Oryzias latipes: one gene and its partner. The protein of the gene in region 1 binds, or shares a complex with, the protein of each later gene. Links are inferred from orthologs where the notes say so. Each region holds a gene or a part of one and is shown on either strand. Other genes may lie near its edges. The genes, in order: syk and tyrobp.

What was found.
Region 2: the proteins of syk (region 1) and tyrobp are in contact, whole or in part, in a crystal structure (PDB 7Q5W), measured with the Homo sapiens proteins. The link is inferred for Oryzias latipes from reciprocal best matches to the Homo sapiens genes SYK and TYROBP. Residues at the interface, in NP_001167638.1 of Homo sapiens: Arg22, Arg42, Asn46, His62, His63, Tyr64, Thr65, Ile76, Ala77, Gly78, Gly79, His92, Asp97, Gly98, Leu99, Arg175, Arg195, Arg197, Lys212, Leu214, His215, Tyr216, Arg217, Ile228, Pro229, Glu230, Gly231, Lys232, His243, Lys247; in NP_003323.1 of Homo sapiens: Pro90, Tyr91, Gln92, Glu93, Leu94, Gln95, Arg98, Ser99, Asp100, Val101, Tyr102, Ser103, Asp104, Leu105, Asn106.

What each region holds. Positions count from the first base shown.
Region 1 is NC_019870.2:27,556,602-27,561,039, forward strand, and holds the start of syk (tyrosine-protein kinase SYK), read right to left. Parts: upstream 2,978-4,438; 5' UTR 2,811-2,977; intron 1-2,810. UniProt on the Homo sapiens protein: Non-receptor tyrosine kinase which mediates signal transduction downstream of a variety of transmembrane receptors including classical immunoreceptors like the B-cell receptor (BCR).
Region 2 is NC_019874.2:15,548,445-15,551,765, reverse strand, and holds tyrobp (TYRO protein tyrosine kinase-binding protein), read right to left. Parts: upstream 1,976-3,321; 5' UTR 1,774-1,975; coding exon 1,728-1,773; intron 1,653-1,727; coding exon 1,635-1,652; intron 1,539-1,634; coding exon 1,395-1,538; intron 1,307-1,394; coding exon 1,239-1,306; intron 1,140-1,238; coding exon 1,083-1,139; 3' UTR 702-1,082; downstream 1-701. Other genes in the region: uncharacterized protein LOC101174619, read left to right, coding at 1-123, 211-296. UniProt on the Homo sapiens protein: Adapter protein which non-covalently associates with activating receptors found on the surface of a variety of immune cells to mediate signaling and cell activation following ligand binding by the receptors.

The DNA of each region.
Region 1 (4,438 bases):
AGTGCTCATTAGTTAAATTATAAACTGGCCAATCAGATGCCTCAATAAAAGTAGGAGGTGCCTGCTGACCCCCACATCACACGTTCCAAACGTTCAAATGACAGATCCAAGCCGTTTTTAAGATCCAGCTAACTGTTAAGTTATGGTGCTGTGAAGACCCTCAAACAATCTAATTTACTTTTCAGTGGGTACTTCCTGTTTGGAATATGGGGCTGGGGGGGTCACTAAGTCCAGTTCTCATATACAGTCATCGTCAATGACTTGATTTCTATGCTGTTGGCCTTTAGCCTGAAGAGTTTAGTTTTAAATGATGACTGATGCCTCTGAACTTTTTCTATTTAACTTTACATCAGTTTGTGTCATTTACTGGGCTTTAACAGGAACGTTTATCAGCTCACATAGTCTTTAAAGACAGCTGAACTGTGATTGTACGAGAGATGTTGTCCAGCTTTATTTTAATTTACTCCTGGCCTAGTAGCTTCTCATTGGTGGAGCAAAACTCCCACCTTTCATTCTTGAATTTGAAGCAAACATAGAACTACCAAATGATGCAGTTCAATAAGTGACCACTAGGGCCATTGGCAGAAGGGGAGAATTTCCCATTAACTGCATCAATTTTTCACTAGAACTAAAATATGTACAGTCCACGGTCAACACCTTTATTGTTTTATTCGTTATGCATGGCGACTGTCATTTTTATGAGCTATTTTAATTTAATTAAGAGCTCATTTTTTGCTCATTATGTCTTTGATTGACAATCAAACATGGCTGGGTGCTTTCAGTTTTCATTTTCACCATTCATTTACTCAGATCCACACCATTAGGACATTTAAGAACGACACCATAAAGACCTTCAGGAACAGCACCAGAAGTACATTGAGGAACAACACCAAGGGCATTTAAGGACAACATCACAAAGAAATTCAGGAACGACACCAAAAGGACATTTTAAAATGGCACCACAAAGACATTTAGGCTAGAAAAGTGTCTTCAAAAGTCAACAAAGACAAAAAAGGTTTTGAGTTTTGAAAGTATGACACGAGACAGAAACAGGATTTTAATATTCTGGAGGGGGGGCTTCCATAGAGAGGCCAGCAGGAAAACGGCCACAGCTTAAAAACTTAAGTAAGCCAGGTTCTGAGAAGATCAATGGAAAACCCAAGACCCAACTATGTCTTTGATCATACTGGGATGAGAAAGCTTTCCACAAAGCCTGATGGGATCCCAAATCCAACACCCTGAGGCTGTACACTACACACGTGGAAGACCTGCCATCCATGTTCATGGAACAAAGATCCATCAGCAAATGCAGGTGTGTTTGTGAGCGGGGAAGGTTTGAAAATATGCAGGACAGTGTTCCCCGAGGACCAGGGTTGGAAAATGCTGTCCTAGATTCATATATATTCAATTTGATATTGATAATAATTCAATCAACGACATGCACCAGACTTTATAGAAACCTGTTTAGAGATTTGGACCTTTCCTGTTCCAACTGTTCCAGATCCTCAAAGACGTGACTGAGTGCTGCATCTTTCTGGTCCCCATCTTTGCTGCATATTCTGTAACTTTTCTTTATCTTTGCAGCATTATTTCAATTGGGCTTCATGTCAGTTTCAATCCTGCTTCATGTCTGTTTCACTTTGCCTCCATGTTTGCTAACAAACTTTATTTATAAAGCACGTTTCATATAAAAGCATAACACAAAGTGCTTTACATTAAAACAAAACAAAATAATCTAAAAACAAGCATGAAAATTAAAATTAACAAGCACAAAAAAATAGCGCCCCCTCCCCGTACCTAGACACAGCCCCCCACTCCTTTCATACATCCCACCCCCTAATCGGGAAAGACAATGAGAAATAGGCTGAGCACGAAAACAAGATGTTGGAAACGCTAATAATTGGAACCTTCCTCTCTGTGAACAGCTGCATAGACAGCCAAATGCAGCATCACAGGCGGGGACCGCTCCACCACAGCTAAGCGGTGATGCAGGTCCCCATCCAGAGCCGCAGCGGCTCAACAGCAGCCGACCCAGAGGGGGGGGGCCCAACTGAGGAAGCACCGGAAATAAAAGTGAAAATAAAAATGAGAATGAAAGAGTAAACATAATGATAAAAGCAATAAACATTGAAACATGGTAAATTAAAATAACGCGTTAAAAATCTAGTTTAACTTCATAAAACAAGATAAGATTGATAAATAAATAACAATAAATGAACAACTAAATAAATAAACTTCTGCTTTATGTCTGTCTCCTCCTAGCAGTAAAGCTGCTTCTCTGCTTTACTTCTGCTACTGGTCTGCTACACTTGATCTGCATGTCTGCTCCAGTTCTGCTCCCTTTCTGCTGCATGCCTGCTTCACCTTTTCTGCATGTCTGCTCCCTTTCTGCTGCATGCCTGCTTCCCCTTTGCTGCATGTCTGCTCCACTTCTGCTGCATGTCTGCCTCGTGTTCACATCTTCTCTGCTCCATTTAACTGCATCACTGCTGCATCTTTGCTCCATGTCATTACCCAGGATACATGCCTGCGCCTCTTGCGTCACGCAGGATGCAGTTCGTTCCGCAGAGGACACGCGCGCACACATCCTCAGCACGCGGTGGTTTCCCATTGACTTTGATCCATCTTGATGTTGGCGACGGCCCAGAAGCGCATGCGAGAACCGCGCACAGATCATGTGATCTGTGGGATTCTGTAACCGCTTGGTGCGCGCCCACAAACACGACTCCATGTCAAGCAACGTCAAGATCCACTTAAAGCGGGACTCTGCTGCTCCTTCCAAAACCCACCGCTCCTCACGGGACACTCACCTGAGTCCTTGGGCTCCGCCACGTTGACTGCAGGTGCACGCGTGTCTCATCATGAAGGTGGCACGAGCGTCTCATCATCGCTGCTTTCCACGACCCGACATGCACAACATGAGAGCAGCCTCTAATGCAGAACCCCACCCGTCGGTTTTTTAATGTTCCTGTCCCACGAAAAACCAAGATCCCCGTCATTCCTGCGTGCTGCCAGCAGGCGGCAGCACTGCTGTCAATGAGGAAGACTGTCCAGGATCAGGAGAACATCAATCCCTTTTTCTATGACATTAGTGAGGAGCAGACTTGGCCATCCAAATGTTGTTGTTTTTTTTTATTTGAAATGGTTTATTTCAAGCAATTAAGTAGAAATAATACACAACAGCAATATAATCATCAGTTATACATTCATACAGTAACTAATCAAACTTAGGATAATTAGACATATTAATAAATATTGCTTGAAAGGGAGTGGGAGGAAGCGAACTTATATAATCCCACCCCGTTATACTGTAACCATTTTATTACATGATTTATCAATATCCGGTTCCCAGTTTTTATCAGACAGAATTAAAAATCATAAGGTATCGATAAAGCACATGACAAAGATGAATTACTTAAGTATTACGTCAAAAATAACTATTTTAGAAATCAACATGGCAAATGCACATCAGTCATCTGAAATATATGCAGATTATGTTACTTATAAAAGCCATTCATATGAATAAAGCACAATACTATATCAGTAAAGTAGACACTACACTGTTTCAGGAATTTTCATAGGAAAATTTCATCAAGTATCAAAAATTAAAAACATGTGCAAAATTATGCTACATTAGGAAAGACTTTTGAATCAATTAATCAATTTTTGGAGAAAGTGAAGTAATATCATTAAAAGTCAATCAATTTAACAATTTTCAATAAGTGATTAATCATTTGTTTTACTTTTTTAAATATTTTTTTGTATTTTTTTTTTATAATAAAGTAATGCTGTAGGGGAAAAAATCCAAATGTAAAACATAAACGAGTCAGTACAGAATCAAGTAAAGAAACAAACATATTTTGCTTGTATGTACACAAAACATTCACTTTTAAAAGATGAAAACTCTGCTGGTATGGTTAAAAAAACGTTAAGGTAAGATTTAAACAAAACAGACAACAGAATCAAAGTGTGTCAAAGATGCATCTGTGAAGACTCATTCATCCACGATTGTTCCATAGCAGAACAAGTCTTCTTAGTGACTAAGTCCAGATGATCTGTAAAGACACATGTCTTAGTCTTTTAAGTCGAAGATGTTTGTCTCCTTATTCAAGAGGCTTTCTCCAGAATTGAGAAAGCCTCTTGAATGACCTTTTGTGTGACCTTCTTTAAAACCTTTCCTCGTGGGTGGCGTTGCTGGTTCTCCAGGTTTAGGGTCTACTTGGAATTGAAAATGGATCGTGGTGAACCTCATGACACTTCTAAACAGTGGAATGGCATGTGTCAATGATTTGAAACAATGTCCCGCTCCGTTGTGCCATCTAGTGGACACCATTGAGAGCAGCAATGCCTTCGTAGTGAAGCAGCATTTCCTTGGTTTGATGTTTTACTACAGAATCGGTATTTAGTTTTCATTGTAAAAGCAAATAAATATAAATGT
Region 2 (3,321 bases), on another chromosome or scaffold:
AGAACAGGATGAGTGGCAGACCGGTCCCAGACCAAAGCCAGGAGGAGCCAGACTGGGATAGCTTTGAGAACAATCGGGGTGCAGGAGCAGCTGTGGACAACAGTCGACATGCAAACTGTGATGGTAAGATTACATTTGATATGCCACAAAGCATTACTTATACAACAAATGCAGTCTGTGAACAGATCTGTACATCAAATTTCCAAACAGAAACCAGAGAATGCTCCAGCGTGGAAACACACGCTGCCATTGGTGAGAGTTCCTTTTCCTCAGTTTTTTGCTCATCAACCGCTTAGTGATGCTCACTTCTCTCTTTCTGTTTGCGCTTAAGGGCCCGACCGCTTCCCAGCTCTTCCAGCCTTCAGCTAAGCAGCCTGCTGTTCAAACATGGAGGTGTGTTCTCTCTGCATCATAAAAGGGATTTCTACAACTGTTTTAGGAAGCTGAATGACCCGTTTCTCAATTCAAATTCTTTAATGTAACATCTCCCATTGTCTCTATTTTTGTTGATCCATCCTGCCTGCATGTTAAACAATAAATGTCCCCCTTATTTTTTTACCCACAGGTCTTTTTTCCCCTCACTATGAGTCAGTATCCATCATCTGTTGAATCATCAGGCGCAGACAGGCTGCTTCCTAATACAGACGCTCTGGAATTTTCTTTTTCCTTCATCCACATTCAGAGCTTTTTTTTTTTTTTTAACGTTAAACAATAAAAGACATAAAAATAACAGAAATGTTGACTTCCTATGACTGGTTAATATACATTAAAAATGAAACACACTATAAAATGCTGTTTTCAAACTAGAATTAAAACATGTATTCTTATTCAAAATAAAGGCAGCAACACACACACTCACAAAACCTTTCAAGCATACAAACATTTACATAAATATTCCACTTTTACATACAGTATTTTATATTAGTGCTTTAAAATCACAGGCATTTACATTACAATTGTGCTGGATTATAACCTAAAGCTACATATATGCAGGATCATTTGCTGTTTGCTTTACGTTCACACACAAACATTATGCTTTACATTATAGCTTCATGTTAGAGTTGTCTGTTCCATTTAAAGTGTCATTTTCTAAAGTGTTGAAGCTCACTGTACACATCTGACTGGACTCCATGTAACTCCTAAAAATCACATGATAGCAAGCAAAGCAGTTATTGATTGCAGCAACATAAAAATCCCCAAATAAAGTTCATAATTGATGGTTATGGGGTTCTAGTTACCTGGTAGGGAGACTCTGCAACTTCTGTTGGCACTTTCTTTGAAGTTTGCAAAGATGAGTTCTTTTTACCTGTATACAGGTGGGAAACGGTTAGATGACAGCCCTTTTGGCAAGTGCCCACACTTGCAGAAAAAAAGCAGAGTTAAGGGGCGCTCACCATGGAGGGAGTCACATTCTCTCCTTCTCCTTTGGTGAGTTGCAAAGCAGAACACAGAAATCATAATGAAGATGGTCAGGATGATGTCAGAAGTAATTACGGCGATCAAAGACGTCATGCTTATGAGATAGCAGCCATCACAGCCTGGGGGGGGGGGGGGGGACACGTAAAGCACAGGGTTTGAATTTAGCACCACATCTCCTTCCGACTGAGTCAAAAATGTGTAGAAAGTTAAAATACCTGGCGTCTCCTCTGAGCCTGAAATATGAAAACAAAATCTTTGTTTACACAAAATAAACGAATAAAAGCGAGAATTAATCATGCATCACTTACCAAAAAAGGAACCTGCGACACAGAGGTGTTCGGGCATCGTCTTCATGTTGGGGTTTAGTAAGGCAGGAAATGAGAGTGAGAAGCTGGGGGCTGTACGTCCCTCTGTTCACTATCAAACAACTGTCCTCCACCCATGAACAAGAGGCTGTGAACTGGAGACAGAGGGGCCCACAGACAGGAGACAGTCCACAGACAATATGGTGTGAGTACCAGGAAGCTTGGTAACCTCCCGGATGACAGTGAAAGGAGGAGTCCACTGTGAAAAGAGGGAGGAGGTGTTTCTGCTTTGTTTTTATGCCACATGGACGTTGCACAGTTATTATTTTTTACAACTAAAATGTCACCATTTGAACTTGGGCCACATTTTTGACAGTTTGACCAAATTGTTCTGATGAAATTAAGCAAAAAAGGTTTCTGACGGGGTTCTGTGTTGCCAGTTTGCAGTTTTGGCTGAAGTTGATGGTACCTCAGAATAGAGCGTTTCCTCAGAACCTGTGGTTTTGCACAGAAACTTGGCCATAGCTACTGCCGCTTGATCTGCAGGCCTTTCACCACACGTTTAGACAAATTGAACTGTGTCTATCAGCAGAACGAAAGTAAACCTTTTTTTGTCCATCAGAAAGAAGCAACAATAAAGACTTTCACACTTTAACCCCTTCATGCCATATGTCGCTAATTTGCAATATATTAAATCCAGGACTCAACTTAATTTAGCATCACTTTGAACAGAAAAAAACACAGAAACTTATTTTTTTTTAAATTGGAAATAAATCTGGGGATGAAGGGGTTAATGTCCAAGAAAAAAACAGTAAACAAATACTGGTGATACCAGTTATGTCACTTCATGGAATTTCCGGAATTAAACACAAAGGGGCTGCAAAAAAAAGCCATTTCTTAGTTTCTATTCATGAGAAAAATGTACCATGTTACTTTTTTAAGGACAACTGAGTTAGTTGAGTGAAATTACAGAAACAAAAGGATGTGCACCAATTCAGTCCACAGAGTTAGAAGTGACCTTTACATGTTTTTTTAGGTGTCAGCGTCTGTCATCCACCCACATAGATTTGGTATCATTTCAAATCAGTGCCTCAAGGCAAGGCCACGTTTTTAAGTTTTTGTTCATCTGAAATAGAAATAGAACTTAATGAAACTGAGAAAGTGAAAACCATTTTTGATTTGACTATATAAGTGGTTTGACACAAACATGAAAGTTAAAACCCCCTTCAGTCAAACCATTTCTTACGTGTTTTTGTTTTCAAAACTTCCTTTTTTCATTTTGTTACCTTTCTTTTTTTGTTCCTTATGCTTAAATACTTTTATTTTCAATTCTCCAGAAGTTGTTTTCTTCAGTCCCCATGTGAAAAAAAAGAACTTTTAGGAAGAATATTGCAAAAGAGAAATGATAAACTATTTTAGCAATAACAGTTAAAATAACGACCCAACGCAGAAGATACACACACAAAATTTATTTTTGTAAGGACTTCAAAAATGATACATTTCAACAAAAGACATGGGATTTTTTTATAAACAGTAATAAAGGTAAACACACAATATATAAAATGTGTTTTTTCTTTAATTTTTCAAATCTCTTATT